Linked DNA regions of Diceros bicornis minor. The main gene of each other region encodes a partner of the protein of the gene in region 3 in a complex. Links are inferred from orthologs where the notes say so. Each region holds a gene or a part of one and is shown on either strand. Other genes may lie near its edges. The genes, in order: IGF2BP1, CAPRIN1, G3BP1 and ELAVL4.

The links.
Region 1: G3BP1 (region 3) and IGF2BP1 share a complex: the UniProt entries of both Homo sapiens proteins name them as parts of the TAU mRNP complex. The link is inferred for Diceros bicornis minor from reciprocal best matches to the Homo sapiens genes G3BP1 and IGF2BP1.
Region 2: the proteins of G3BP1 (region 3) and CAPRIN1 are in contact, whole or in part, in a crystal structure (PDB 8TH7), measured with the Homo sapiens proteins. The link is inferred for Diceros bicornis minor from reciprocal best matches to the Homo sapiens genes G3BP1 and CAPRIN1. Residues at the interface, in NP_005745.1 of Homo sapiens: Glu4, Lys5, Pro6, Ser7, Leu10, Val11, Glu14, Phe15, Arg17, Gln18, Thr21, Leu22, Met29, His31, Arg32, Phe33, Tyr34, Gly35, Lys36, Gln58, Lys59, His62, Leu114, Glu117, Asn122, Lys123, Phe124, Tyr125; in NP_005889.3 of Homo sapiens: Met363, Gln365, Met366, Gln367, Gly368, Pro369, Tyr370, Asn371, Phe372, Ile373, Gln374, Asp375, Ser376, Met377, Leu378.
Region 4: G3BP1 (region 3) and ELAVL4 share a complex: the UniProt entries of both Homo sapiens proteins name them as parts of the TAU mRNP complex. The link is inferred for Diceros bicornis minor from reciprocal best matches to the Homo sapiens genes G3BP1 and ELAVL4.

The regions. Positions count from the first base shown.
Region 1 is NC_080757.1:37,072,055-37,079,898, forward strand, and holds the start of IGF2BP1 (insulin-like growth factor 2 mRNA-binding protein 1), read right to left. Parts: upstream 3,005-7,844; 5' UTR 2,665-3,004; coding exon 2,490-2,664; intron 1,310-2,489; coding exon 1,249-1,309; intron 1-1,248. UniProt on the Homo sapiens protein: RNA-binding factor that recruits target transcripts to cytoplasmic protein-RNA complexes (mRNPs). This transcript 'caging' into mRNPs allows mRNA transport and transient storage.
Region 2 is NC_080770.1:34,299,826-34,306,878, forward strand, and holds the start of CAPRIN1 (caprin-1), read right to left. Parts: upstream 3,011-7,053; 5' UTR 2,939-3,010; intron 2,517-2,938; coding exon 2,304-2,516; intron 1-2,303. UniProt on the Homo sapiens protein: mRNA-binding protein that acts as a regulator of mRNAs transport, translation and/or stability, and which is involved in neurogenesis, synaptic plasticity in neurons and cell proliferation and migration in multiple cell types.
Region 3 is NC_080740.1:68,626,777-68,634,458, reverse strand, and holds the start of G3BP1 (ras GTPase-activating protein-binding protein 1), read right to left. Parts: upstream 3,003-7,682; 5' UTR 2,897-3,002; intron 2,553-2,896; exon of another isoform or gene 2,262-2,552; intron 1-2,261. UniProt on the Homo sapiens protein: Protein involved in various processes, such as stress granule formation and innate immunity. Plays an essential role in stress granule formation.
Region 4 is NC_080752.1:12,622,377-12,629,698, forward strand, and holds the start of ELAVL4 (ELAV-like protein 4), read left to right. Parts: upstream 1-4,307; 5' UTR 4,308-4,503; coding exon 4,504-4,512; intron 4,513-7,322. UniProt on the Homo sapiens protein: RNA-binding protein that is involved in the post-transcriptional regulation of mRNAs. Plays a role in the regulation of mRNA stability, alternative splicing and translation.

The DNA.
Region 1 (7,844 bases), on a different chromosome or scaffold from region 3:
AAATCACAAGCTCTATAAACATAGTTACAAGCCATATTGATCATCTATAGATACAATAGTTCCAAGTTACTTCAATATCTCAAGCTAAACCACTGAACAGATTTTTACCTCACAGTAAACTTTCTAGACCCTTAGCCACCTCCAAAAATGCATAGCCACCCACCTCCACCTTCCCACCCTGAAAAGGCCAGGTCCTATTCTGAAATTCAGCAAGTTTCCAGTTGAAATGAGAGGAGGGGGGAGTGAAAGGATCAAAGATTTACTGGGGTTTGCAACATGAGAGAAAACTCTGCACTGTCAACATGTTTAAAGTCAGATTTGAGAAAGCAGAAAGACTCGGCCCTTATACTTCCCAGCCAGAGTTCAATGAAAGATTTGAAATCCACCATGAATTGGATTTGGGGATAACATGATAGAGGTACCCCAGTTTGCTGAAGTGAGGATAGAAAGGTATTGGAACACACTCTTTCTCTGTCTCTGTCTCTGTCTGTCTCTCTCACACACACACCCATTCATGCAGGGAGTTCTAGACCCTCCAAAGAGCCCCAGCTCACAGCCTGAACACAAAGCTCTCACCCCAGATGGTCCCCCTGTAACAATGGACTGAAGGAGTGGGGGGGGGGGGGCCTCGGAAAGGATAGTACAGCCAAAGCATATTTGCAAAATCCAGTTGGGAGGGGAGGATGTGCATGTGAGGGACTAGGGGTAGGGGTCTGTAAAAAAGTAATGTCCATGCCTGTTGCAGAAATATAAATAAAGCACAAGTCTAAGAAAATTCTTTTAGGGGCAGAACTCATTCCACTTCCCCTGGGGAGTGAAAGGAGACCCCCACCAATCCACTTAAGAATTATGGTGAGTGAAGGGTGGGAAAAAATAGAGAAAATGAGGCCTGCTAGGAAGTTGCAGAAATGTCCATGAGTCTGAGCTCTTCAAATCTTTTTAGCTTCCCCACAAAAATGGCCCCACACCCCTTGACCAAACTCCTCAAGGTTTCTCCCCTATTTTTTCCCTTTTATTTCTCCAAATAACATCTCTTAGCCCACCCTAGCCCCAGCTTACGTTTTTTACAAGCTGTAAACCACTCATTACAAGATCTTAGCCAATCTTCCCTCCCTGCCCCCAACATCCGGAGTTGGGGGTGGGAAGGCCAGTAATGGGTTTCTTCCACTGGAGACACTATGGACCCCTGAACACAGCTTCTCGGCTCCCCCAGGCTGCCCCCCTCCCCAGAAAAGAGCTCTTTCCTACCTTTGTTTTTTGGGGACCGAGTGTTCAATCTCTAGGCGTTTTCCTTGGAGTTCCACTTTGCCTAAGGATTAAAAAAAGGAGAGACAATATGAGAGCTTGAACAGGGCTGGGGGGCGGAAAAAGGAAAGAGAAAGGCATTAGGGTAATTCAGGAGTTACTTGGATTTGTAGGAATCAGGCAGTGAGTTTCGCAGCCGGGTGGGAAAAGGTCGCTCTGGTAATGGTGGAATCTATAAATTCATTGTGTTTTCTTAATTTTTGTTTTGTTCTATTATCTCATCGAGGCTGGCTGAGTAGTAGGTCGTTCTGGGAGCCCGATCTGGGAGAGGTGCGCGGGCGTCTGTGTGCGCGGGCTGCCTATCCGGCTCCCAGATGTGGGAAGACGGGGCCGAGAGAGAAAGGGCTCTCGTTTCTCCCAAAGTGTGTTGCAGGGGGGAGGGGGGTGCAGAATGAAACTTTATTTTTCGGTCCAGCCAGGGAGAAGGGCTTTGGGCGGCGGGACGGTCACCTGTCGGGACTGGTCGGGAGCAGAGGCCCTGGGGGAGCGAAGCGGGGCCCCGCAGGGAGGGTCCCCGGCGGTGGCGGCGGCGCGCGCCTCTCGGCCCAGCCTCGGCGTCTCGGGAAGCAGCATGGCGACCCGGCGCCGCCGCGGCCGCGCCACCCCGCTCACGCCCCACTTTCAAATCAAAATGGCTCAAGCCCCAGGCCCTGGGCGGGAGGCGGGACCCCTTTCCCCGCGGGTCCTGCTTGAAGGCTGCAGTCCCCACGCAAAGCCGGGAGATCGGAAACTGAGCGGGGACCCCTGCCCCGCCTGGAAAGGCCTAAGGCGGAGGAAGGGGAGCTGGGGGTGTTCACGCTGGGGGCGGGAGGGGCCTCCAGCCGCGGATAGGGAGGGGCTGACGTGGAAATAACGCCCTGACGGGGTCGCCTTGCTGGCGACCCCCCACTGCCAGTGGGGGCTCCCGCCCCGTCGGTGGGGGGTAAGGGGGCCACCTTACTAAAGGCTCCAGCTGCTCGTCTCGGGTTGGGAGGAAGGGGTGAGGAAATCTCGAATATTTCCGCGCGAGAGGGGAGTGGGGGGTGGAGGGGGCGTCGAAGGAGCTGGGTGGAGGGTGGGTACCGAGGCCGAGCCCCGCAGGCCGCGGGGAGAGAGGAGGTGGCGGGCACGGAAAGAGGCGGCGCAGGTCTCCGTTGTTCAGGGATTTCGTTGTGGTTTTCTCCGGGAGGTGGGTGTGCCCTTACCCGAGAAAGTTTCGATGGCCTTCATCGCCCAGTGCTCGTCGGGGCAGTCCACGAAGGCATAGCCGGATTTGACCAAGAACTGGCCGCTGTAGGAGATCTTATGCTCCGCAAACACTTTCTCCAAGTCCGCGGGGGTCACGCTCTCGTTGAGGTTGCCGATGTAAAGCTTGTTCATGGTGGCGGGCTCTGGGCAGGACGCGGTCCCTGGCAAGGCCGAGCGAGCGGGTGCGGGCGGCGAGCCTCCTAGGCCGAGAGGCGGGAGGCCGGCGGCAGCAGCCGCAAACTTTCTTTGCACCCCACCCCTGAAGTTGTCCGGAGCCCGGCGGGGAGGGCGGCCCGAGGGCGCGCAGAGGTCGCGGGAGAGTTCGGCGAGGCCCGGGAGAAGTGCCCGCGGCGCGCTGGGAGGCGGACGACGCGGCGCTGCTCCTTCTCTTCTGTCCGAAACTCCTCCGAGCGGGCTGGTGTGTCACGTTTCTCCGTGGCCGCCCTGGCGCCGCCTCTAAATAAAATCGACTTGAAAAAAAATGGAGCGGAAAAAAAAAAAAAAGGCGAAGCCACGTGGTGAAAGCCCCCACCCACCCTGCAGGGGAAGACCCCCGACGCCTCAGGGCCCATCGACCCTCCAGCCAGGCCCAGCCCACCAATCTCCCGCCTAGGGGGGACACTCGCCCCCGGATAAACTGGGCGGGGTGGGGAGGGGGGGCTGCGTTCCCGAAGCTTTACTTGTCCCCTCCCCTTTTGCAAGAATATGGTCCCTAGGGAGGCGCCCCACCCCCCCCACCCATCCCCCTACCCCGGCCCTAGCTGGGGGAGGGTTGTCGGGCCCAGAATCTCCCACCTCTTTATGGGTAAAATGTACGGTGATTTTTTTATTCGTGTGCTCCGGGGGTGGGGGAGTTTGCCCACCCTACCCCGATTAAGTGCTAGCGACTGACAGGCGGGGGACGGCCGAGAGAGACAAAGAGAAGCCGAGGACTCTGGGGTCTTCAGGAGGGGGTCCCGCGAGCCGGTGATTTAAAAAGAAAGGCGGTTTTTCCCTAGATTTTTAAGTGGGGGCTCTGGGCCTGCCCGGCCCCAGCCCTAGGAGACTCCCTCGCCTCCGGGAATCCAGGACCGAGGGGCCCTGCGAGCGCGGGACCGGGAAGCTGGGGACACGGGGGGTCGCGATTGGGAACGAGGAATCCACAGGAAATCATGTTTCGGGATTCCCACCGGAGAAAGGGTGGCTCACAGCCGGGGTTCGGCTGTTGAACGACAACGTCTCGGGGTCCTGGGGGAACGCACGGCTCCGGCCCAAGATGACCCCGGGAGAGAGGGCGGGGTGGAGAGAAGGAGAGGAGGGGTAGCGCGAGCAGACCCGGGCGAACCGAAGGGGGAGGTCTCGGGGAGGGAGTGACCGGGTGGAGATCCGCACGGTCCCTTCTCCCTCCCGGACGCGGGGGCAGACAGGTGGAGTCCCCTCCGCCCGCTCCAATCCGGACAGCGACAGCCGCTTTCCCAGCACTGGGTTCGGGTCCGGGAACTTTGTTTGGGGTGCAGGATTTGGATCCCGGCGGGAAGGCGGGAGAGGGGCAGCGGGCAGGGGGCTGAGCGCGAGGCCCCGCCCACGTCCCCAGGTCAGACCCGCGGAGGGAGGGGGTAATTTCCGCTCGGCGCTCGGGGAAGCGAGGGGCGGGAGCTTGGAGGAGGGGGCGGCGGCCCCTCCCCCCTCCCCGTTGCTGGGGAGGGGGAAGCGGATCCGCCCTGGTCCCTTCCCTCGCCTTTGACCAACTCGTTCCGGATCCTCCGGCCCCCGGAGCCCGAGGGACGGACCCGACTGGGCAAGGGGCGACACGTGGGCGGTCGCACCCCCGTCTCTGCGGTGGGGGAGGGGGCAGTTGGCGGCGCGTTTCGGAGTCCCGGATACACGGCGGAGAGCGGGACGCGCGGTCCACGCGCAACCGGGACCCCGGCCCGAGTGGCGAGCGAGGCCAACGAGTTTCTAGCGGCGGGGGCTGGGACGGCACCAAGGGGTGGCAGAGAGCGCGGCCCGGGGCCCCTGGAGCCCCCTTGGCCAGGGAACCGGGGAAAGAGGGAGGTGGACCTCCAGTAATGCCAGAGTCTCCCTGAACTGGGCGGAAGCTCGGGGTTTGCTCCGGGTTCTGCAGGAGGGAGAAATCATTCGTTCGGGGACACGCGTGCTGCGAGGGCAGGTGAGGAAGGGGGTCACTCTCCCTTTCCCGGTCCCCGACCCCATTGTCTCAGTCGCCTGCGGCCCGGGCCGACTCCGCAACACGTGTTGGCTGCACCGATATGAATGCCTTGGGTTTTTTTCTTGTTATTATTTTGTGTGCAGAGTCAGTGAGCTGACTCCGACTTGGGCGCACCACTCTTCTGCCAGACGATTTCATTCCGTTCAAAAAGTCGGGAGTTAAAAGACAGCACGCCGCACCTTTGTCCCCCTCCCGGTTGTCCCCGCGCGCTGAAAAGAAACGGGGCTTGAGCGTGGGGGCGGGGGAAGGCTTCCAACTCGGTTTCTCCATCTCCACCACCTTCAAAACCCACCCTCCAAATCCGCGTTTTGTTCTAGCCAGCCACGTGTTTGTCGGATTTTTGTTTTTGTGATTTTTTTCTTTCCATAGGGCGACAGAAATTAAAATACTATAAGCTATTAGTTGCTGAGTAGAAAAAGAATGTTGGGGTGGGCGACATCTGTACCCCAGCCCCCACACCTCCTCCCACCCTCCCACTGTTTCTGACTGTTAATATTTAGTCAACTCTTGACCATAAACAATTTTAAAACAAACCAACGAGCTGGAAACGGTGCCCACCACATAGTAGGCATTCAATAAACATTTTTTTAAATGAAAAACAAGCTAATACAAACTGCAGAGCAAAGAAAATGCACAGGAAAATTAAGAGTTCAGAAGAAAAAAAAATTATCTTGGCCAGAATGTGTAGGTCTGTTTCCCGGGGACTTTTCTTGGTGATGTGTGTGGACTTTTGAAAGGGCTAAAAGATGGTCTCAGAAAGGCTGTTGTGTTCTTTGGCCTTTTCGTAAAGAGGAGCCCCAATCTCCTTAAATCTCGTCTGTTCGATTGGGGGACAAAGAAGTGGGTACTAGGCAGGACTTTTCAGTTCCCAGAAACTTTAAGAGCTGTTTCCTTATTTAGTTTAAATCTTTAGGAATTAATAGAAGCACCTCTCAGCTTTTCTGCCTGGGGAACATATCCACTACTCTATCTCTTTATTCCTAAAACAAAAGCAAGTTACACCCCACAAAAACCTCAACACAGACCTCTAAATGCCTGTAAAGTGCAGCCCACCTTTTCTTATCCTAGATTCAAAGGGAAACAAAAAATTTAAAAATAATAATTGAATTCAGTTCACTTTTAGGTTGATTTTTTTCCACTTAAAAAATATAATAGAAGTCTAGATATTAGCTGAAATGAGTCAGTTTAAATGTTTTTAAATGACAGTAGAGGAGAAAATATAAATGTATTAAATTAAAAATTTACCAACTATTGCTAAATCGTAACTGATTTGTTCTTTTTAAAAATCAGCTGTTTCACTGAATTCTAATCCCCACACACACACACACACACACCCCACCAAGGGCTTCTGTGTGTAGTCAGAGGCTGCAAGAACACAAGAGCTTGGAGACAGCTGGGGTGAGATGCAGACTCTTTTAGCCCCCAAATCAGTTTTGCCTCAGTGACCTGGCTATTTTAGGCTGGGGTTGGGGGGACTGAATCCTGTTGACTGGTGCTTCATCTCTCCCCTCTGAGTGAGCTCAGCACTAAAATTAACCTGAGAGAAGGGTTCTTTCTTGTCAAGACTCACATTCCTAGGTGAGGGACAAGCATGGGCCAAGTTGGGATGCCATAATTTATCATCATTCTTTTCTTTTTTTTTTTTATATTAAAGACTACTAATAAACATGGTATTTGTTTTCAGGTTTTTTTCCACACAGCTTTTCGGGGAAAGATTAATCTTCAATGCAGAATTATATTTAGTTGTGAGAGTTAAAAATATAGCTGCAGGATAAATTATTTTCTTTAATAATTTATTTAATAATAATAATTTTATTATTGTTGATGTTGTTATACTTCTTGGTCTTCTCTTCCTCCTTCTTCATTTTTCCTGAAGAAGTATTTGGTCTAGTTCTAGAATTCAGTTCTCTGAATTCAGAAACACTGAAACTTGACTCCATTTTAAAGATGGGATTCAGATCCATTTTCCTTCAATGTGAACCTGCAAATACATGCAGAGAGGAAAAAAAAATTAAGAGAATAAAACAACACTTTAAAAAGTTGGAGATATAAAGTGAAAAAATCAACAATTCCACCATTGTCATATAAAATTAATTTTATTTTTAAATATTTCTTCCAGTATTTGTTCATTTGGAATAGTTTTATATTTTGTCACCTTATTTTTATATCTTAATTTTTCACTTGTGTTGTACCATAAGCATTTTCCCATGCTGCCTCAAAGTTTTCATAATTATCATTTTTAGTCAACACGTACCATTTAGTCCAGTAGATGTAAGTTAATCTTAATCATTAATCATTATTTTTAGATATGTAAGTTACATCAAATTCTTTTACTTTTGTAAGTGGTGCTGAATAGATGTTTCTGGGGCATGTAACTTTTTCCTCTTTTAGATTAGCTCATTTGAATATATCCCCAGAATATATATTGCATTTTAAATTTAACATTTATCAATGACTTTCTATTTTAAAAGTTTAGCATGTTTTACAAAAGAGAAGTCACAAAAAAATGGAAAGCAGGAGAGAAAGGCATTAAAATAGAATTTGTCCCTTTTTTTATTTTCTAATGACCCATAATCAATTTTGAAATAAAATTATGGTTTCTATAAAATAGAGAAGAAGAAAAATTCACATTTCATGACAAATGGCTGCTTTGATTTCAAAGTTTTTGGAGGAATTTGTTTTTTGTTTGCTTTGTTTTGATTTGTTTTGTTGCTGTTGTTTGCTTGTTATTTCATTGTTATTGCCTGGGGATATTTTGTTTCTTCCTGCAACTTGAAGTCTTAGTGTGGTTCTTCTAAATGCCCATAAACTTTGAAAAAGTGTAAATGAGTCCCAATTTAAAAGCACATGCAGCATTTTCTCCTGTCAAATAAATAAGGATAATTAATTATGTGTTTGAGATAACTCATAAAATGTAAAAGAATGGTAAGCAGAAAAGAAAAATTTTCCTCCTCCAGATTCTTCTTTAAAAGTCTTCAGTGTTTAAAACATTAAAAAGAAATGTGTTTATTTCAGAGATAGAAGAGACTCAAGGAGAAAAAAGCAACTTTAAGAACAATCATTTGTTTTTCTAGGGGTCAAACAGTGTGTGTGTGATGAAACT
Region 2 (7,053 bases), on a different chromosome or scaffold from region 3:
AAAAGGTTCAAAACTGACTTGTAAGTAAATCCTATTTTAGATGTATTAGAAATGCTCATTCACTACTGAAAAATGAATCAGTTAAATCTTTTCATACAGTAAATTATCCAGCTATAAAGAAAATTTCAATTTAAACTAGAAGCCAGATGTGCTTAGAGAAAAATTCAAACGCCCTTGAGTTTCTCAAAACATAGTTTGTTTTAATAGTAATTAAGTCACAACATCAGTACTGGCAACATAACTATTTAACGAGTATGTAGCTCAGTCTGTGAGTTATCAAAAAGCCTCAAGTAACTGTAATTTGACCTTTCCACTTTACTATCTAGCACCCAAAACACCGACAGAAAAGATGATATGAAATACATTTGTTATTTTGTAAAATGTCCATCATTACAAGGGAATTTTTCAGTACTTACTAGCCTAGTCTATAATCTCTGTAATAATAATTACATTACTTTCTCCTTTATAATGATGGGGGGGCGGGGGATGGACACAACTAGGCAACGTACAGCAGTACAAACCTATAGACAGGAGAGACCCATCATGGTTCAGGCCCTCAAGGGACTTATAAACTAGATTTCTATTCTTTTCAAATACACTTGAACACTAGAATCTAATAATCACCTCACAACTAAGCTGGCTGCTACTCAGTGCCTGACTTTATATTAATGCCTTTGAAAGAAATACTTTTCAGTGATTAAAATATAAATATGTATACTAAAATGACTCTGTGTAAAATATATCATTAATTAATTAATTACATCTTCTGATTCCCATCCTCGAAGAAAACAGATTCCTAGGAATTCTGAAAATTAAACCATTCAGGCATCAGCCAGATTGACAGGATTGTTTACTGCATTAAGAGGTTTTAAAGATACCTAAGCCTCAATTTCAAATAGAGTGGCAAAAACTAAAACAGATGGCAGACACAGAACCAGAAGATACTAGCCTTGGGGCATGTTTATTCTGTTACATACTTGAATATAGCTACTTTATAATTAAAATACTTTTGTTGCTTGGTCGATGTTGATAAATCTATAACTTCAATCATTTATAATAAACCACACTTGTTCTTCAAAATAAAAGATAAGCAAAAAGTAGAAACCCACGATTAGTGCATCTCTCAATTTCAAAAAGTCCAAGAAATTCAAATAAAATTCCCAATACAGAAGGAGACAGAGAAGTAACAAATCTAAAAATGTTTATGATTTTAAACTCCCCCAAAATGTAAAATAAATCATTAAACAAACAATTAAGATAATTAAGGCCTAAATGTCATCAGTTTTCGTCAAGTTATTTCCCACAGTCGAAATTTCAGCCTAACAGTTACTATCTCAACGTTTTAAGTACCACTATTAGGTGGCTGGCTAAACACTGTAAACATTTTTAAATGATTTCCTCAAAATTAAAGATGCTATGCTGGTGATTTGTTTTTTCCTTTCCACCCCAATCTTACTGAAGGCTGAATTATTCCCTCTGCCGAGACCCTTTCCCCATACGTGCACACACGCGCACACGCACACACGTGTCCCCCTACACAGAGTCGGTACCCTGTGCTGCGCGGAGAGCACACAACAAAAGGCCGACTTGCAGACAGACCCCCCGGTGCGACCTGGAAGGGCCAGATACTGAACGGCAAGATTGCGGGCGTGGTCGGCTTCGGAGGGGCGCTGCCCGGCCTGCCCTCCCCCGCTTTCGCTTTGTGCTCACAATGCGGCTCCGCGAGCTTCCCTCTCCCCGCCGCCGCCATGTTAGCCGCGCTCCATGTGCCCGGGCCGGCGCCCCTCCGTCCCCGCACCGCCGCACCTCCCCAGTCGTCCCCGTCGCCCCCCGGCCCTCTCCAGAGTCCCGGGGACAAAAGGCCGCTGCAGACACGCTTCTCGGGGCCGGGCCGAGCGCGCGGCTCGGGGGCACCTAGACAATTGGAACAAAGAGGAACACGCAGGGGCGCCCCTCGGATGGGGGCGGGGAGCAGATCGAAGACGCCCCAAAAGGGCCCGATGGGGGAAGCGGCTCTGGTTTGGGACCCTGAACACGTCCGCCCGTCTCCCAAGAGAGAGGAGCGGGCAGGCCTCGAGCGCACGGGAGCGGCGCGGTCAGCCCGGCTCCACGAGGCAGCGCCGAGCCCGAGCCCGCGGCCCCCTGCCGCCCCGGCCCCGCACAGCCCACTCCCCGACCCGAAGGCCGCCCCGGCAGGAGGAGGAACGGAGGCCCGGGCAGCGCCGCGGCCGGGCAGCTGACAGCGCCGCCCCGGGGCCCGCTTTCCGGGGACGGGAGAGCCGCCCGGCCCACCCCTCCCGCACCTTCTTCTTCTCCAGGTTCCGCAGCTTCTTGTCGATCACGCCGAGGATCTGCTTCATGGCCTCCGTCTGCACGGCGCCCGTGCCGCTCGCGGGGTGCTGGGCGGCCGGCGCCGTGGCCCCGGCCCCCGCCGCCGCCTCGCTGCCGGAGGAGCCCGCCGGGGGCGGCCCGGACGACCTGCTGCCGCTGCCGCTGTGGCTGGTGGCCGAGGGCATCTTCAGACGGCGAGGGAGACGAGAAAGAGCGGGAGGAAGGACGAGAGGCCGGTCAGGCGGCGGACGGGGCGAGACGCGGGACAAAACGCGCGGCGGAGGGCGGCTGCGCGCTGGGGGCGGGGACGGCGCCGCGGGGGCAGGAAGGGACGCGGCCGCGCGCCCCCGCCCGGCCACCCCCCGGCACCGGGACCCGCGCGGGGCGGGGCCTCGCCGCCGGCCGCCAACGGCCAGCGCAACGGTCCCCCGGCGGGGCCGACGCTCGCCGCCGTCCGGGGAGGGACGCAGGGGCGGCGGGGGAGGGGCGCGGCGGGGGAGGGGCACTGGGCTGACGGGGGCAGGGAGACGTGAGGGGCGAGCCCCCGCCGGGAAGGGACCCGGCGGCGGCCCCCGCCCCGCGGGCGCCTCGGCCGGCCGGCGCTCACCGTGCGCGCGCGGAGGCCGCTGGCGGTCCCGAGGGGGCGGGCGTGGCGCTGCGTTCCGGGCAGTGTCGCGCGCTCCGTGGGCGCAGGCCGCGTCGCGCTGTGCCCGCTGCACCGAGAGCCCCTGCCAGTGAGGCGCAGAGTCGAGCGGGAGGGAGCTCGCCGCCAGCCTCGGCGCGGAGGGCGGGGAGCGCAGGGGCCCTCGCGGGCGCGGGCTGCCCGGCGCGAACGCCTGCGGGGAGGCGCGGCGCGGCCCGGCCCGGCCCGGCCCGGCTGCCCCTGCCCGGCCGCCGCCCCGGCCCGGGCCCTGCCGCGGGGGGCCCCGGGGAGGCTGCAGGAGTGGGGTCTGGAGCTGTGAGCGGAATCGAAGTGAGGGTCCTTCAGGCGAAGTCGCTTGACGTCCAAACGGGGACAATAGGTGTCAAGCGGCTGGCTGTGGAGCTGGCGGCTGCCCCGAGAAGGGTCCTTACGTGGTGGGGGCGGGGGTGGGGGCAAAGGTCCCCGCCGGTGAGTGGTGCGCGAGGCGCTGGTGCGAACCCCGCTTCTAGAATGCCTTCTGGCTGCGGTCAGGTGGCCTCCCGCCCTGCACAGGGGCCGGTGCAGAGCGCCCGCTCGCCGCTTCCCCGCGGACACTCACCTGGGAGCTCCCTGTCGAACGCCTTGGAAGGAGCAAGATAGGTGGCATTTTGAAAGTCTTAAACCTCCCGACTCGTGTTAAAAGTAATCTTCAGCTACCGTAAGATGACATTTATCCAAGAGGCCTGAGGATTACGGATTAGGGTTTTCTTTCCTTTTGTTTTAGATTTTCCTAAAACTTTTAAGAGAATGTTGAATAAAATACAAAAGAAAATTTCTTTTGCTCCAAGAGAATTATTCGAGCCTTATAATTAACCTAGGGGCGGGGTGGGTGTGGACAGAAAATGAACCAAGTGCTGGAAGGAAATGTATTAAAGGGAGTCGTTAGCGGAAAACTCAGCGGCATAATGTTGTATGACAACAGTAAATGAGGGATTTACAATTGAAACTCCGTGAAAAGGGGATTTCGAAAAGGATGATACTAAACCCGCTGTTCCTTGGGGAAGAAAATGAGTAATACTGGTTGGCAGCAGTGTACCCTGAGGGAGCCTGGAGAAACAGCAGCGGTCTCCGGCCTCAGGACAGTCCGGTTAGCTGCAAAGTCGGTTATCGATTCATTCGAAGATTCCTTGAGCCCCTTACTATGTCTTAGGAGCTCTTTAGTGCCAGGGACTGTGAACAAAACAAACACCTCTGTCTTCATAAAGCTCACATTCTAAGTGGGGAGAAGATAAGTAGGTACGTGTCAGATAGTCAAGTGGTAGAGAGAACAGACGGGGTGGTCAGGAAAAGGCTTACTGAGGACATGTAAGCCGAGACTGACGGAAGTGAGAAGACCAAGCAGGTATCTTGGAGGGAGAATTTTCCAGGTGGAAGGAACACCAGGTGCGAGGAACTGAGATGGGAGTGCGCTTGGTGGGTTTAAGGAACATCGAGGAGGCCGCAGAGGCTAGAGCAAAGAATAGGAGCTGAGGTCAGAGACGTGAAAGGGGGCTGGCCTTGTAAGGCCTGGTAGGTGGCTGTAGGGCCTTGGGCTTCTGCTGAGTGAAATGGGCAGTCACAGCGTGCATAGCTTTAGCAGAGGAGTCACATGATCAACCTGTGTTAAAGAAAGCCTCTTGCTGCAATGTAGAGAATTTACTGTAGTGTGTGTTAGAGATGAGAGGAAGGGTGGAGAAGAGCAGGAGCTGGGGCCCAGTTAGGAGGCTGTTGAAATAATGCAGCCCAGAGATGGTGGTGGCCAAGGTCAGGGTGTTCACAGCAAAGGTGGGGACAGGTGGTTGGTTGCTTTACACATTATGGTAGTAGAACCAACAGGATTTGCTTAGCAGTTGTGTGTTAGGTGAGTGAGAAGTCAAAGCTGACCTAAGATTATTCAAGATGGAAGCACCTGAACTGTGTTTAGTGCTGCGCTAGACACTCTGCTAAGCCTAGAGGCTAGAAAGGAGGATTAGAATCCTTTAATTCCTTGCAGGTCTTAGTGTACTCAGCCTGACTACTGTCACTTTCAGAATCTCAGGCCCCACCCCAGACCTACTGCATTTTAACAAGAGCCTCAGCTGATTTGTATGCACGTTGAAGTTTGAACAACAATCTCTGCTTTATTCCTTAGAACTTGACCAATGTGCTTAAGACCAGACATGAAATACTCTACTAAGCAAATTTTCCCCAGACCTGCAGAATCAGAAACTCCGGGGGTGGGGCCCAGCAATCTGTGTTTTAACACGTCCTCCAGGTGATTCTGATGCACGCTGAAGTATGAGAACCAATGACTTGGAGACCTCTTATAATTAAAGTTTGAGCTGAAGAGGGCTTGTGATAAGGTGTGAGAAGGAGAGGCCTCTTCTGCCTTTCCTTGACTCGTTACACAGTAGCAGTTACCAAAGCATAAAGCTAAGTTAGGCTTTTCTTCAAGGAAAAAAGAAAGATTATTGAGGGAACGTGGTAGCTGACAACACGGATGACAAAGATCCTCAGTCGGAAGTCCGTCTCACAGCCCACAGTGTGTCAAGACACGCTAGGTTATGTTGCAGTAACAGTCCTGAGAGCGCTGTGACTTCAAACAGGGATCTGCAGACCAGAGTCTCGGGGCTGAGTAGCCCTCCATCTGTTTTTGTAAATCAAGTTTTGGGGACACAGCCGTATCCATTAATGTACGTATTTTCCATGGCCGCTTTCGTGCCACAGCAGAGCAGAGTTGAGTAGTTGTGACAGAGATGGTATAGTGTGAAAAACCTAAAATACTATTACACACTTTACAGAAGAGGTTTGCCAATCCCTGGCTTAAAACAACAAATGATACACATCCATCCATCTGAGGGCTCTGCTCAGAGTAGTCACTAAGTAGATTCAGGCTGATGGAGAAACCATATCTCAAGTGTTGATGATTACCATAAGGAAAGAGAACTGGGGAGTATCTCAAGTAGTCGATTAAATACTTCAAACAGGTAGAATTGCATCATGTGCACTCACACCTCATTGGCCGGAAAGAGTCACATGATCCCAGCCAACCAAGAGATGCTGTCCTATCAGATGCCTAGTAGGAAGCTAGGTGAACCGGAAACATTTGGTGAACATACATAGCTGTTGGGCTCTCACTTCCTACAATATGTCATCCCATCTGGTTTCCTTGGTGTTCTGACGTTCTTGCAGTTGTGTGATCAGGTCAGCAAGACCAGGAAGACTAATCAGTTTAAGGCAAAGTAGTGTCTTTAGTCTGACTTTCTGCCCAGCCCAATGCCATGGTCCCAGCAAACCAAATTTGTCTATTTCCTGTCTGACAAAAAGGGGACTGAAGCTATGTTTATGTGAATTTTTTAATACTTTACTGTAATCATTTTTTTTTTTACCTTTTTTCATAATCCAAACCCATGCAGTAGCTTCAGGTCATTGTATCACTGAAGAAATAGGAAAATTAAAGGGTTTTCCTACAAAACCAATAGGAGAGCAGAGTACATCTATAAATGAAAAACACTTTCTCCAAAAACCTTGGTTTTAAAGTTATCCCCAATGTTAACGTGTTGTTTTTTTTTGGGGGGGGGGAGGAGAGGAAGATCAGCCCTGAGCTAACATCCGTGCTAATCCTCCTCTTTTTGCTGAGGAGGACTGGCTCTGAGCTAACATCTATTGCCAATCCTCCTCCTTTTTTTTTTCCCCCAAAGCCCCAGTAGATAGTTGTATGTCATAGTCGCACATCCTTCTAGTTGCTGTACATGGGACGTGGCCTCAGCATGGCCGGAGAAGCGGTGCGTCGGTGCGCGTCTGTATCCGAACCCGGGCCGCCAGTAGTGGAGCGCAAGCGCTTAACCGCTAAGCCAGGGGTCTGGCCCCTTAACGTGTTTTAATAACACAGATCTCCCAAGCTGACGTTTGCTTGTTTAACTCATTAGACCACAGCACTCTAAGTCTCCACAGTCAAGTGAGTGAGTAATTGAACTTCTTATCCTGATCATGTTGGCAAAAGAGTTCAGCTGCTTCAACTTGAATCACCCAATAAGCTAACATTGAGTATATTTGTAGCTAAAGAGGGGACCTTGCATCTG
Region 3 (7,682 bases):
GCACAATTAAATGGACATACAGTGCATATTTGAATTCCAAAATATTATGTTAAAAAACCAGCGTAATTGCAAAATGTTGGAAGATCAAGTGAGTAATTTTATTAAACTGGCAAAAAGAAAAAATTGGTTTAGGTTACAAACTCAGGCTTTATATTAAATTTCGTCTTTTAACACTGCCCCATCCATCCTCCTAACAAACCTAAAAAAATTTAAAACCAACCTCTGCCCTTCACTTTCTATGCAAAGTACTAAAACAAGTAAAAAAAAAAGTAAATTACAAAAAACTGCTGCAAAGTAGGTCACCAAAAACATTACCAAATCTCCTGATGTTCCCTTAGCAGACTGTCAGCTGAGACCAGCCAACTGAATGTGAGTTAAATAAAGAACAAAGAACTGCCTACTTCTCCACCAGTTAGAAGAGGGATCAAAGCTTAGATTGAAAGCATTTAACAACAAAAGTAACCTCTGACTTGGCTGGGAAGCAGGGAGGCACACAGGTCTTGTATTATCCCAATCTGCTCCAATTCATCTGTTCTTGATAAATGAATGCATAAGAGATCAGTTGGGCTACCAATCTGTGAAATATCACAGTTTTCATATTCCTACTCAACTGATAACCATTTGCCTGAGGCCAAGGACAGTGGTTTTTTTTAATATTTGAAGGGGAAACTAAGAAATGCAATGCAATCCCTCAATGCAAAAGGTAATTTCATTCTCATATATTTTACCTCAAGGAGTTAATAAAATTAGCTGGACTCAAACTTATCATTTTAAATGTAGGTCACTATAGTGTCAACACTTGATAACTTAAAATGCCAATTCAATAGTTAACAGGTGTCTAGACGCAGGTAGCTGGAATTGTTACAGGAAGGCAAGTTCCAAGTACAACAATGTTACACTCTAAAGCAATCTGTTATTTATGGCAACACCAAGAAAGGTAAGCACTTGTCCATACAATATTTCAATCCTTTATCTATTGCTACTTTCTGTTAAGAAACATGGAAAAGTACTGGGTAAATGGAAACACTTACAAATATTAAGCTTCCTCATGGTTTTTAAATTTTCCTACAAGGATGTAAATTATGTGTTCCCTCTGACTGCAAAAAATTCCTTACTCATGAAGACCAATCCTAGAAAGTGTATGTACAAACAAAATAAATTTCTTAAAAAAAACAAAGGTTGAAAGCCATCACAATCAAAATTAACTTAGAAGGCTAGTCCCAAACTTTTATTGCAGTTTTATCTCAAGTAGAGACATTTGTGATGTAATGATTTGGACCTGCAACACACAGGAACATTTATTATTTCACTAACCCAAGGAGTATACATGCTTTTAAAAATCGAAAATATAACTCAACTAGAAAAATATAAATTCTAGTCTCTGAAAGTGTCTTCTACGTTTGCATATATACACAGGAGCCTTACAGTGAACGCTAAATAAAAGAACTGAACGTAGACAGGCTTTCTTTACCCACCGAAGATCGCAACCGCCGTTAAGAGTAAGATTTCCAACACATCTCAGTCATCCGTCACCCAGCATAAGCTCCACAGGGGTCAAATTCATACCGTAACTGGGCACCTTCCTTTCCATCGCAATTTCAAATTAAACCTACAAATGCCGCCGAGATCTGCAACTCATCGTTCTAAACCTCATTTTCTTCAACTATAAAACAAGGAAGTTAAACTATCTTCTCGAAGGTCTTTCTCAAAACTCTGCTCCGACTACATGTAAGAAGAAAGATTCAAGGTTAATATCAGAGCCTAACTTCCTGCTGGCGGGAATTTCCCATCATGGTAATATGAGTTTCAAATCCGACGAGAAACACTGTCCATGTTCATTTGCACTGATTCATCTTATTCCATACTTTTTCCAGAAGCTTTTAGGGCGGCACATCCATCAGCTCTTTGTACGAGCCCACGAAGGAAGGAAGCCCACATCCTTTCTTTTCCTTTGTCAGAATCCCACTTCCCACCCTCGTCTCCCTGGAAGCCCACGACGGGCTCAAGCACAAACGCCGCTGCAGAGCTCGCAGCAGGCGGCCTGTCGAGGCTGATGCTGTCCCCAGGGCGCTCTGGGGGCAAAGGTGCCCTGGAGCCGCACAGGGCGCCGGAACAAAGAACAAAACAGGCTCGGGGACCAGGAGTCGGATGGCCGGGGTTCAAACGAATACCTGCCCCTTGCCGCCCGTGTGCCTCTGACCGTGTCACTCCCCTCGGGGCCTCGGGCTCCGCCGCAAAATGAGGAAAATCATCGCACCTACCTCATCGGGTCGTCGTGGGAGTGACTGAGAGGCACGCAAGTTGCGGAGCCCAGCGCCGGGCACGCAGCGAGGGCTGAGAGGGAATACTAGATATTACCATCACACAGGATCCCTGCACGCGCTGCTCCCCCTTCACTCCCTGTAAAACCCAGGAGCACCACTTCTGCTTCCCAGGTCAAAAAAACCTATCGCACTCGCGCGTCGCCCCTGATCCTCAATAAAGGCCTCCTCCGGTCCAGGCCAAGCTGGAGCCCCTCGCCCGGGGAGGAAGGACTCGGCAGGCGCGTAGGGGCCGGGCGGGAAAAGCAGGCGAGCCGACCACGCGGGGCCCAGGCCCCCGAGATCGCCCTGCGGCCGGGGCGGCGGCCGCGGCTCGCTCTCGCCCCGCGTGGCCGTTGGGAGCGGCACGCGCACGCGGCGGACGTGGACACGGCCACGCGCGCCGGCCGGCTGGGGCGGGGGAGCCGGAGCCTCCGCGCGCCCGTGCGCCCGCCGCGCGCGCCTGCGGCCGTTGAGGGGTGGGGGCGGGGGCGCGCGGCCGCCGCGAGCGTCGCTCGGACTTCTCCTCCCTCTCACCCCCGCCGGACCTCGTCCTCGTCCCCCCGCCGCCCGGCCCCGCCCACACCCCGGCGTACCTGCGCGGCTGAGCGGGAGAGGAACAAGCTTTGCTCCACAGCACAGCGGAAGGCAAAAACCCCTCAAGCAACTGCGTCCGCACACACGCGTGCTCCGTCGCCGGTGTATTATAAGCGCGACTCAGCCTAACTTGTTGCGGCCAGGTCGGCCAGGCTGGTGACCAATCCCGACTGCGTCCTCTGGGCTCTTCGAGCGGCAATTGGGTATTGACTCAGGATGAAGGCGTGGCTCTTGATTGGCTTTGACGCATGCCTATGAGACTGTGAGGATCTCGTTTCCCTAGTAACGGATTGGCACTGAGAGAGACCAATTACCTAAACGTATGGTGGAAAGGAGGGTGGGAAGTTCTTTGACCGATACTCAAGGCAGCCAATAAATGCGTGGAGCCGCTCCCATTCGTTAAATCGTCTTCCCCTGGGCGGAGAACCGTTTTCCAGGCAGGAGCGGTTGCTCCACAAGGTGGGGCCCGTGTACTTTGGGGAAGTAAACCCCAAGCAACAAGGAGGTGGGCTCCAGGGAGGCCCAGGAAGCCCCCAGCCAATCGCAACGCAAGAAGGAGCTGATTGACACGGGGGTTGGACAGCACCAAGGAGACCAAGCCCCAGGGCCGCCGTGCCCTCTGGGGCGGCTCTGAGCCTCTCCTGGCCCGGGCTTCCGTCCGCTTTCCTTTCTTTCCCTCACTTGTTGGGTCGGGCTTCTGAGCCCCCTCTCCCCCCTTTTCCGCACAGTTTGGTACCAGGGAAACCAAGTAGTAAAGTTTCCCGTTTTTTTTTTTTTTTTCTTTTTATAACAACTTTTTTATTTCCATGCGGCCGCCTAAGGGCACTTGCTGGCTCTCACCATTAGTCAGCACTATTGTTGGACAACTGTAAGGGAGAGCCGAAGGAGAAAGGAGCTCCCGTTGTGGACCTAAGGGCCTGTAAACAGGTCGCACGTGAAAACTGCTGGGGAGTTTGACAACACGCGTTTTTACCCTGCTGTTCTTGGCAAGCGCAGCGGCAGGTCGGCCCGGTGGTCGGCTGGCGGGTGTTCAGCTGAGGTTTTCCCTTTTTGTTGCTGCCGAGGAAGGTGGTTTGTAGCTTCTCCGATCAGCTCGGGCCTTAATGCAACATCCTGTGCGTCACCCACCACCATTGTCATTCAGTTTTCTAATGCTGTGAGTGTGCGGGCTTATTTTCAGGTCGTTCCGTCTTTAAACTCCTGTATGGACGCCCCGAAGATTGCCCGGAACAGTTCAGGGGCTAAGCGGCACACCAGCCTGGTCTCCTGCGCTCCTCTGAGTGTTTTGTCGGGCCCTCTGTTGGTCACCATAAGCATTTTACATGGAAATACATCGACACGCCTCGGTGCGTTCTCATTCCAGGAATGTGACCCTGTGGGAGGATCTCCCGTTAAGTTTGGCAGAGAAATTTGGAAAAGAAGCACGTGGATCGTCTCCGTGGGGGGAGGAGGGGCGCAGCAGCGGCCAGGTGGGGCTCCGGGGTGTCCCGGTTTGCCTCCCTGCGCGGGGCCTGGCCCCAGACTGCAGACTCCGGGCGGCCCCAGGAGCGAAGTGAGAGCGCCCCTCCGGCCCCCCAGACCCCACTCCCGCATCGGCCGCACTCGTTCAGCATTTATTGAGCTCCAAGGGCTGAGGTCAGAGATGATCGAGACGCTGTCCCTTCTTGCTGTCACCCATTCAACAGACGGGGCGCTGCTCTGGGCCAGGAGCTCCCAAACCCGGGAACAGGCGCCTATGAGAGCACAGGAAGGGAACTCAGCCCAGAGAACCTGCTCAAGGTTTTCTGGGCTAAGGAACCTCCAGGATCGTGTTAGCCCTGCTAAGGAATTTGGACTTTATTCTGAGGGCAGTGGAGAGCCCCTAAAAGGTTTCTTAAAGGGTGGACTAAGAAATTTGCGTTTTACAAAATGACTTTCCGAACTGATGCTAATGAGAGCAGATCCAGAAACTTTAAATTCACAGATTGGTAATTTAACGCAGGTGGCCTGTGATGGGGGTCAAGGCTGTTCTTAATCACATTTGGAGGGCATTTTAAACTCTTTTTGTAAGGCTATTTGGCAGTCTCTGTTAAAATTGTGTATATCCCACTTCTTGGTTGATAGCTACATTTTTTAAAGGCATGTAATGAAGTGTTCACTACAGCATTGTCAGCTGTGTTAGAATATTTAAAAACTGAAAACATAATTGCTTACCAATTTGCAAACTGATTAACTGACGATATGCACATAATGTAGAATACTATGCAGCAGTTTAAAAAGGAATGAGGTAGGGGCCGGCCCTGTGGCTTAGTGTTTAAGTGTGCATGCTCCACTAGCGGCCCAGGTTCGGATCCCGGGCGTGCACCGGCGCACCCCTTGTCCCACATACAGCAACTAGAAGGATGTACAACTATGACATACAACTATCTACTGGGGCTTTGGGAGAAAAAAGGGAAAAAAAAGAGGAGGATTGGCAATAGATGTTAGCTCAGGGTTGGACTTCCTCAGCAAAAAGAGGAGGATTGGCATGGATGTTAGCTCAGGGCTGATCTTCCTCACAAAAAAAAAAAAAAGAAGAATGAGGTAGAACTATACAGATATGCACCCATCTCCAATTGTTTAAAAAAAATCAAGTTCAACAAAACATACAGTGAATTCCCATTTATGTTAAAAACAAAACAAAAAACAAAACAACTGGTTTCTGTATGTTAAAGCAGGTATGTAAGTGCATAGGAAGAGTTCTAAATTTAAAACGATAGTCATTCCCCCTAGGGAAACCTCTAAATTGGGAGCGATGAGGATCAAGTATTATTTGCAAGTTTTACAATGAGACTGTGGTCATGTACTGTGTTGTATGATAGGAGGTAAGAAGGAAGGAAGGAAGGAAAGGGGAAAAGATTACTAGAGGGAGAATGTGGACAAGCCCCCTCATGTGGTAGCTGCTGTTTTCCACAGGAGAGAGCAAGTTGGCATCCTCCTGTGGTAGTTTCCCCCCAACTCAGATGACAAACCCTCAGGCCCCAGCTGCTGGATACTTAGTAAATTTTCAGTGGGTAATTTACCACCATTGAATTGCCTGGAGCACTGGTTCTCAAGGTGGGGGAGGTGGGGGAGATTTTGCCCCCAGGAGACATATGGTCTTGTCTCAATTAGGTAGAGGGGCTACTGGAATCTAGTGGGTGGAGGCCAGGGATGCACAGGAGAACCACCCCCAACAAAGGATTATCTGGCCAAAAAGTCCATAGTGCCGGGGCTGAGACATGCTGGTCTGGTCACCTTAGTCATCTAAGGGAGAGTCCCTGGCCTCCTACTAGTCTTTCCAATGCCAAGCAAAATCTGCAAACCCCTCCCGTACACTGCTTCACCCTTCTCTTTCTGCCACTTCTCCTCAAAGCTCTGAGAAGCAGGTGGGAAGAAGCATGGGCAAGGCCCCAGAATACACAGTTTTGTAGTGAGAGTGAAAGGGTGGTGGAAAATACTAGGTAAGGGATGATCCTGAGAATATCATCTAGATCAGTGTTTCCCAAACATAGCTAATCTTTCATGAAGAGTGATTCAAAATATGTGCCTGTATGTATCTTTAACTGTTAAACTCCCATCTATGAACAAAGACCTCGTATAATAATATTCATTGCGGCACTACTTCTAAGTAGAAAGAGACAGGAAACAACCCGAATGTCAAGCTATGTGAGACTGGATAGATACAATACGGTGCACGCTTACTGTCATGCAACCACAGAGAAAATGAGGCAGATCTGTGTGTATGGTTACAGAGGGATCTCCAAGAGACATCAATAAACGAAGAAAGTAAAGTGCAGAATAATGGGAAGAGTAAAAAGGGGGGAGAGGCGCCATGAGGCAATTATTTCTATTAAGATATACTGTATTGCTATAGTTATCTCTTCACATTCCTGCTTGGTTTTGCTCTACATGCACAGGTTATATCTGGAAGGAGTCACAAGAAAGCGTTAATGATTGCTAACGGGGAGGTGAACTTGGGCCAGGGTAGGAGAAAGGCTTAGTTTCCAGTCATTCCAAGTACCCTTTGGTACTGTATAATTTTTTTCTAACATGTGCATGTATTATTTTTCCAAAGAAATTCAATGTTAAATATAGATTTTAATAGTGATATGAGGAACTACAAATATGAAAATTTTGATCTTTAAAACAAACAAGATGAAGTCCTACATTACCCCTTTAGGTGTGTGAGGAGTTTGCAAGATGAAGCATCAAAGTTTTAATCTGCCTCCCTCCCAGACTGCTAACCTCTTTACTTTTGCTCCTTATCATACAAAAATCATACAAAGATCCAAAGAGACCCTTTACTGGCTTAGAAACGCATGCCTATTGGATTCCTCACTCCTTTCGCTGCAAACTCTCTGCAAACACATCACCTCCTCAAACTCTGTGCACTGCTGACCACGAGCCAGGCACCTTGCTGGTGTTCTCTACAAAGATGATCTCCTGTTATGTTCACAACCACCCTATTTCCCATTTCTCAGAAAGAAGCTCAGAGATGTTAAGCAGCTTGCCCAAAGTTGCACAGCTAGGGCTGGAAGCTAGACTGTCTGACTTCAAGTCCATACTCTTTTACCCAAGGAAGAAGGATAGATAGTCCCAAGTAGGGGAAAGGGGCATGGCTCCTCAGAAACCCCTAAGAAGCTGGGATTTTCTTTCTTGCTTTCAGGCGTGCCACCAGGTAATGCTGCATAGACAGCTTTCCAGGTGGTTTGAGAGGTTTGGAATCCACGGGAAATCCTGGTAACCTGCAGCCAAAGATGTTTGCAAAAGGCTCTTTGTAGCACA
Region 4 (7,322 bases), on a different chromosome or scaffold from region 3:
CAGGTATCAGTGTGTGTTGGTTTCTCTTTTAGATACGAGGGAACGTAGAACGGTGCATGCACGCTCTGTAAGTAATAAAATCCTCCTTAAAATCAGGCCATAGCAGTATAAGTGATGAGATTTATTTGTCCAGGTGGGTTTTTATCCTTTTAACATCCCCCCTCCATCACTGGGGCTTTCAACTTGGGACATTCTATTTATTCCTGGCAGAGGAGCAGATTAATTGGAATAGAATTGTACAAAGGAGACACCAAGTTTTCTGTACATCCCAAATAGTATACGACAGAAATGTTCCACTTCAAGGCAGGTCTTGGCGAAAACGAACAGCACTGGGAGGGGAGAGCTGATTGGTTTGCTCTTGTGGTTGTTTATAACTGTTCGTGTAATTGTGTTTTTAAGAGATGTTTAAGATTTTTTTTCAGTGTCTTTACTTTTAAGCTTTTGCTTATTTCCTATCATGAAAGACCATATCAAATAAACCTAATGTTTTACTCAGAAGAAAAGTTGCATTCTTAAACTCTTGCCTCCATCTTGTATGTGCTTCGTCCATATGGATACTTTTGAATCGGGTTTTTATCACGTGAGTCAATATTTTTCTCTTTTTGCAGAAGGAAAATATTTCCATGGAGTTTTTTGTGTTCCCTCTTGCTCTGTGTTGATTGGATTTTCCTTGTTCATCCTTTGCTGAATGAAACAAAGCTTATTTGTGTTTCATTCTTCACAGTTCTTATTAGAATTGGTGATGGTGTTTTGTTTTGTTTCCTCTCTATAAGTCAAGAGAAGGAGTTTTATTTATTTATTTTCACAAGATACAGAGAGAGATACAAGACAAGATGCCTGTTAGGGTGCTGGCGTTTCTCATGTCACATCCTACACCCAAAAGCTATTCCAAGGGGGAAAAAACAGTCTTTTAAGATGGTTCATTTGAATCTGTGCTCTCTACCCACCTGGTGGTTATCTAGTGAACTGTTACTTTAAAGAGTAGTTTAAACACCAGCCATGTTTGGGGCAGGCTGCTCTTGCAAAGAGAGCAGTGCATATAACAGGAGTCTACTGTGTGTGAGATAAGGGGAAAATTCAGCTCACTGACTAGAGGTTTTAATGTGCGAACTCTAGGGAAATAATATATTGACTGTTGCGTGGCGCGCAAGAAAATTGAAGAACCCTTTGCAGACGGAGTGCTTTGCAAAGGATTCTATCTGTTTCTCTTAAAACAAAATCTGTGGCAAGATGTTTGAAATCAGCAAGACGCTTAATGCTGCTTTGTTAAATAATGAGGTAATATTTTGTCACTTTTTTCTGGGCAGCATCTGTTTCCCCCCCCCTTCATTTTTTTCCCTATGTTTATGAAGGATTCTTTTTTTTTTTTTCTTTCTTTCCTTTTTATTTTCCTCATGGAAGTCAAGGAAATACAATTCACGTTTCCATTTCTGTTCCTTCCTTTCAGTGCTTTTGGAGAATTTGGTTGTCTTTTTTATTTGCAGTTTCAGCTGGCTGCTGTTTCCTAGCCCATTGTGCCACGTAAGGCTTCTCCACTGCGCGGAGTAGGTAGTTATTAACGCTGAATTGGCTTCTGGTACAGTCCATCTGGACTCTGTGTGGGAAAGCTGGCTGCCGGCGACTGATGCTGAGATATCTGCAACCTTTGGGATGTGTGCATGGTGGCGAGGGGCTGACTGATATGAGATTACTTCTTTTAAGGGAAATTGTTATTAATGAGTCAAGAAACTGCTCATTTATGGTAAGAGGGATACAGCCGCTCTGGCAGCCCCACAGCTCTGGGATATCATTTTTAGGTTGCCTTAGCTGCTTGAGTGAGACAAGTTTCTTTCTGTGGTGGTGGAGGATTGTGCCGGAAAAAAAAAAATCATGCATGACTGGGAGACTCGCCTGCCTGATTCTTGAGATAATATGTTGAGAATCTGTTGCTTTACAAATGTCACACCACTGATATAGTGGTCAGCCCCTCACTCTGAAAGATGAATGGTACTATTGGAAATGCAATAATAAGGTTGACTTTTCCCAACAATAGGATTCTGCCTTTGTCTTTAGAGAAAAAGCCTCTGAGGATATTTGTGCATTTGTTTGAGGATTCTGTTGAAAGACTTTAGAGTGGAGGTTTTTGGAGAAGTGATCAATACACAAAGTGTATGGATTTTTTTAGCCTAGCAAAACCAGCTAATCATTCATACTGTGATATACAGTTACTATTTTGGAAAAGTGATGAGAATATCTTTTGATATACCTAATGTTAATTTGTGGCTCACTAAGTGTGCTGAGATTAATATGGGTGGGAGAAAGGGGTTTTAAGCCGGCTGTTTTTATTTGTGTGTTTGTCAGCACTGTGTTTATGTTTACTTTTCACAATATTTTGATATTGGTGAGATCGCACTCAGTTTCTCTTGTCTATTTGGGGCACCTGTACCTGCCCTGTGTATATCTGTTGAGCTCTTTACAACACTTAACCTGTGAATTCATCCTTAGTACACAGTTCAACAGATCCTATAGCACTATTGTGACTCGTAGGACTCTTTATACATTTTGCTAAAGAAATTATTTTAAAGTTTTCTTAATTTAGTATTGTTCCTCTTGAAGGGATTATAGTTTTAACATTTCTACTTTCCTATTTTATGTATTTTCATTTCCAATAGCTCAATTTATTTAAATTCCAGTTTAATAGTTTAGATAGTGTACCCAACACACATTGATTTGTGGTGTATCTGTATTTTTTAAAGTGTGTATATATGTATGTATTTGTATGTGTGTTCATGAACTAGTAGTTTAGAAAAAATAGTTTTATTTTTTAAAAATGTAAAGGTTATTTTCTTTTCTAATAATTTTTCACAGACCCATTTATTCTTGGACTTTGAAGCCCAGAGTGTAGCATGATTTCTGGCCTATATTTCTACTCTGCTCGGTCCCATCTTGCTGTCAACTTCAGCCAAAGATTAAAAATTATGTTGAATTACGTCTTCAGTAATATTTGTTAACCTCTGTATATTTATTGAGGAACAAATTGACTAAATTATGAATTAAATAGTGATAAGTTAACTTTTTGGGTAGAAGTAAAGCATAAACTCCTGAGGTAAACCACTTTAAAACTCAAACCAGAACAAAAAAAGTATCTTAACTGAAGGCTTGGTATCAGAGGTTATGAAATGTATCACATAGGCAGACAAACTGTATACATCACCACACACTTGCTAAATGTCTCCTTGCAAGTCTTTTAAGAGGCCAAAGGAAGAAAACATCCTTTGAAGGAGAGATGCAAAATCACGTGTTCAGTAAAACAAGATGGGCACTCTGCACCGGTTATGAAATGAGTCTGTTGTCAAAAGCATATTTTTACCTTTCTCTATAGCAATAGGGAAAGCAAAGAAAGAATGTGTTTTAGTGGATTTTTAAAAATTCAGATCATGCACCTATCCAAGTTGAGAAATAAATTCATTTAAATAAATCATTCATCATTCTCTGTTTTGAAAAGCTCAGACAGAAGGCAGAAAGGTAGAGGCTGACAGCTGCCCCCTCCTCCCCCAGCTTTTTTTCTTTTTTGTTTATTAGGAAATAGTTTTCTGAAGCAAACTTGTATGAACCTAGTTCAGGGAGCAAGCACAATCTCAAACTTGCTTTCGTTTGAAACCTGGTCATGTGAGCTGCAGAAGGAGCATTACTTGCTAAAAATCAGCAATATTGGGAAATAATAAAGTTAAAATGTAGATGTATTAGCACATTGAAGTGCTTTTGTTGTTATATCTTTAAGCCTAGAGGCAGATCAGTAAATATGCATTTCGCTAGAAAGCAACTGTCAAGAAAGATAAGATGATTGAAAATATTTTAGATGGGAAAAGCCCTCTGTCAGAGGGGTAGGGTGGTGCAGCCCTCAGGACAGGGGAAAGAGAGGACACTCCCACTGTTAAGGTTTGCAAGCCACCAGTGACTTGCAGTTGTTACAGTACTTTTGAGCTGGGAGGAGGGAAAAGGTAAAAATACAAGTATGGCTGTTGTTGCTTCAGCCTGGCCTTAATTACCAGACACAAGAAGCAGTTCAGAAATCTGGTCTCTGTTGTTGTAGAGGTCACCAAATCATTAACATCGTCAATCTGGCAGTAGCTAATTTAAATAGCACCTGATGTTGCAACGCCTCCCTTCTTTTCCCCAGCCAATCAGATCCTGGCTTCAGCTGACAGATGGTCCCATAAATGGATGTAAAAAGGGGAAGCTTCGAGCCAATTTCAGCAAGGCTCTGTTCAGTTGTTCTTATCTACATCCTAGAATCGGGAGTTTCGGCTCACTGCTCCTTTTCTTTTTTTTTTTTCTTTCTCTCCCCCTCATCTCCCCCCCACCCCCAAATAATTGATTTAATTTACAATCATCCACACTGTGTGTTGTGGATCTTTAAAAATATACAACAATAGTAGTCATTTAAAAAAATATATTCTGAAACCTTTGCAAATTTTAAGAGAAGAGTCGAAGCTCTGCGAGACCCAATATTTGCCAATAAGAATGGTTATGGTAGGTATGACTAGATTTATAATCTGTTGTTTGTGTTGCTGGAGGGAAGAAAAGCATCTACACTTTGACCAGTCTTATGCTTGCACAAGAGTTTAGTTCTCTGCTGCTGTTTGGTTCCTACCTTTACTATCTCTTTTGTGTAGAGAGTGCGGGTAGGTCCTTGTATTGAAAAGCAGTGGGGAAATAGATTGTCATTTTTAAGAGGTCATTGTCAATTTTCCCTTCAACGTAAAGGCAGTGGGGGGAGGTGGGTTAGGGGGAGTTGGGCTGAAATAATTGCTGGTTTGTTGAAAGAGGTTATATTACATGAGACCATAATGCCAAAAGAAGGGTTTTATTTTTGCAAGGGAGTGGGGGTTTGTCTACGTGCCTGGGTTTTGTGGGGCTCGAGGTGGATGCAGCAGGGTTAGGAATCTCTCCATTCCCGTGCTGGAAATTTAAACCTCGAGAAGCAGCTCCTGGATACTGAACGTTGAGATGGGCAGTTGTGTTTCGGGGGTGCGCAGTCAAAACGGCAAAGAGAGTGATTTATTTGGGCTTCAGTAAATGCTGCATCTTGTATTTCAAAGAGTTTCCTGTCATGACCTCATAAAAAAGAGGAGGCGGCTTGTATGTGTAGCGGTGCCTGGCGTGTTGAGTTGTTGCTTCCTTCTCTGGGCAGCAGCTCTGTAAGGAGGAATGTCAGCTTTTACATAACGTTCCTTTCCGCTTTTGACACACTGTGTGAGGGTCCATCTTCTGCTGATCACAGATGGAGTGGAATGGCTTGAAGATGGTAAGTGAAAAGAGGAAGGCAGCTTGGAGATTCCAGCTGAGTGTGTGTGTATGTGTGTGTGTAAGGATGGTGGACTGTGCATCATAAATCACTGTGCAGATCGTTTGTGTGTGTGTTTATTAGTATTTCTCTTTTCTGAAAACCAGAATCCACCTCCAAGTGTAATGGCACTGCATGCACACTAGGCACACACACTGCCTCTTCCATAGACACACATTTTAGCCAAGCAAGGTTGGTGTCTTTTTGACAATCACAATGTCACCGTCGCTGTCAGCTGGCGTGTCCACCGCCTCTGTGAGCCTTCAACAGAATTACACGACTGTTAAAGTTAAAGGCACATTTCATTTTCCGTCTCCTGCTAAGAGTGATGGGGAAGGCTGGGAATGAGGGGTGGAGGAGGTGAGGTTCAGTACCAGCAGATGTAATTGTGAAACAGGACTTTTGGATGTGGAAGGGGAAAACCTTTCTGCCAAAGTAGTAAATCTATTTTTAGCATCATCTCTTTCTGAAAAAAAAGAAGCAGGGAAACTCCTTGAGTGCCGCTCCTGTCGCCTGATGTTGACCCTGAAGATATGGCACAAAATGGCATGATCAGATGCCGCGAGTGCCCACTTTGACTTTGAATTTCACCAGCAATAGCTTTCATGGGGTTTCAAAGCTGGGTATGGGGGGAGGCTGGAATTTCATATCCATCTCACTTATTTTTCACTAGAAAAGCCCGGGGAGGACTTTTCGCTCCGCATAGATGTTATAACAAAGCTGTGGTCTTTTTCCCATTCTTAGAGGATTGCCTTTGTCTGGCTGCTTGTTTTGATGGGTGTAAAACAAATAAGATTAGACCGAGCAGCCCAACTGAAAGCGATAGCTGGGAGGAAAACCCAATGAAAGGTTGCCGGGGAAACGAACAGAGGAAAAGCCGAATAGGGAGCAGGTGGCTATCATGAGAACACACTGCAAACAGTGTAAAAAAAGCGGGGGGGGGGGGGGTACAGGACCTCGATTATCTTTGCTGTTCTTTGTGGCCGGCCCAACTTTAATTATTCTTTATAAATAGGTGTTAATTACATTTCTAACTCTGGTTTACAGTGATTTTTAGAAATCTATTTTTAAGCATCTGTTCTGTCTCCCCTGTTTTTTTTTTTTTTTTTTTTTTGGTTTTAAAAAACAGAGAGAGAGAAGGAGGGGGGAAGGGAGGGTAGGGAATCTTGCTTTTTTTTTTCCTTTCTCTCTCTCTCTTTCTCCCTTTTCCCTGCTGTGAAATTGTACGTGCGAAAAATCGCAAGGAATCCTGAGAGGCCATTTGAAAAAAATGTAAATTGTATTGAATGAAGTTGATGGAAGCATAATAGTGAACTCTCACAGCTGATAGGTTCTGCAAATGACTTCTTAGAAATTTCCAGCAAATATCCATAGGAGAAATATAGGTAGAATAGATTTACCCTAAGCAATGACTTTGTGCTAGGTAATATTGGTATTTTTACTAAATCAGATGTTGATACTACAGTTCCAGGGAGTTCATTGTAGCTCTCATTTTATATCTTGAGTAGAAATTACTTTTAAAAATAATCAATAAAAAGCTGTATTCTAGCCTTTTTCTTCGCTTCCCTCTCCATGCCTTCAGCCACAGGATCTATCAGGCTGCACCCTTGCGACCACCGCCTTCCATTTAGCATTTGGTGCTGGTTCTGGTCTTGGCATAAACTGAGTGAAAAGCTGAATTCTTTTTTTCGGTATCTCTGAACGTCTGGGACCCATGTGTGCGCTGGGTGACAGGCATCTCTCGCTTTTTCTCTAAGAGTGCTTTACTAGTCTCTTTTTCTCATGATGGTGGGTACCAGGAGGACTGAAAGGTGTAGTACTTAGGTGAATAGGAGGTAGCGTAAAAACCACTGAAACGATGATGTGTTACGATTTCTTCCTGAGAGACAAATTAGATACATGATCAAGTAGCTAATTTTAAGCCCCAAAATGAGAGAATAAAAAATACTGAAATATATTAAAAGGTTATAAAATATAATTGGCTTTATTGAAAATA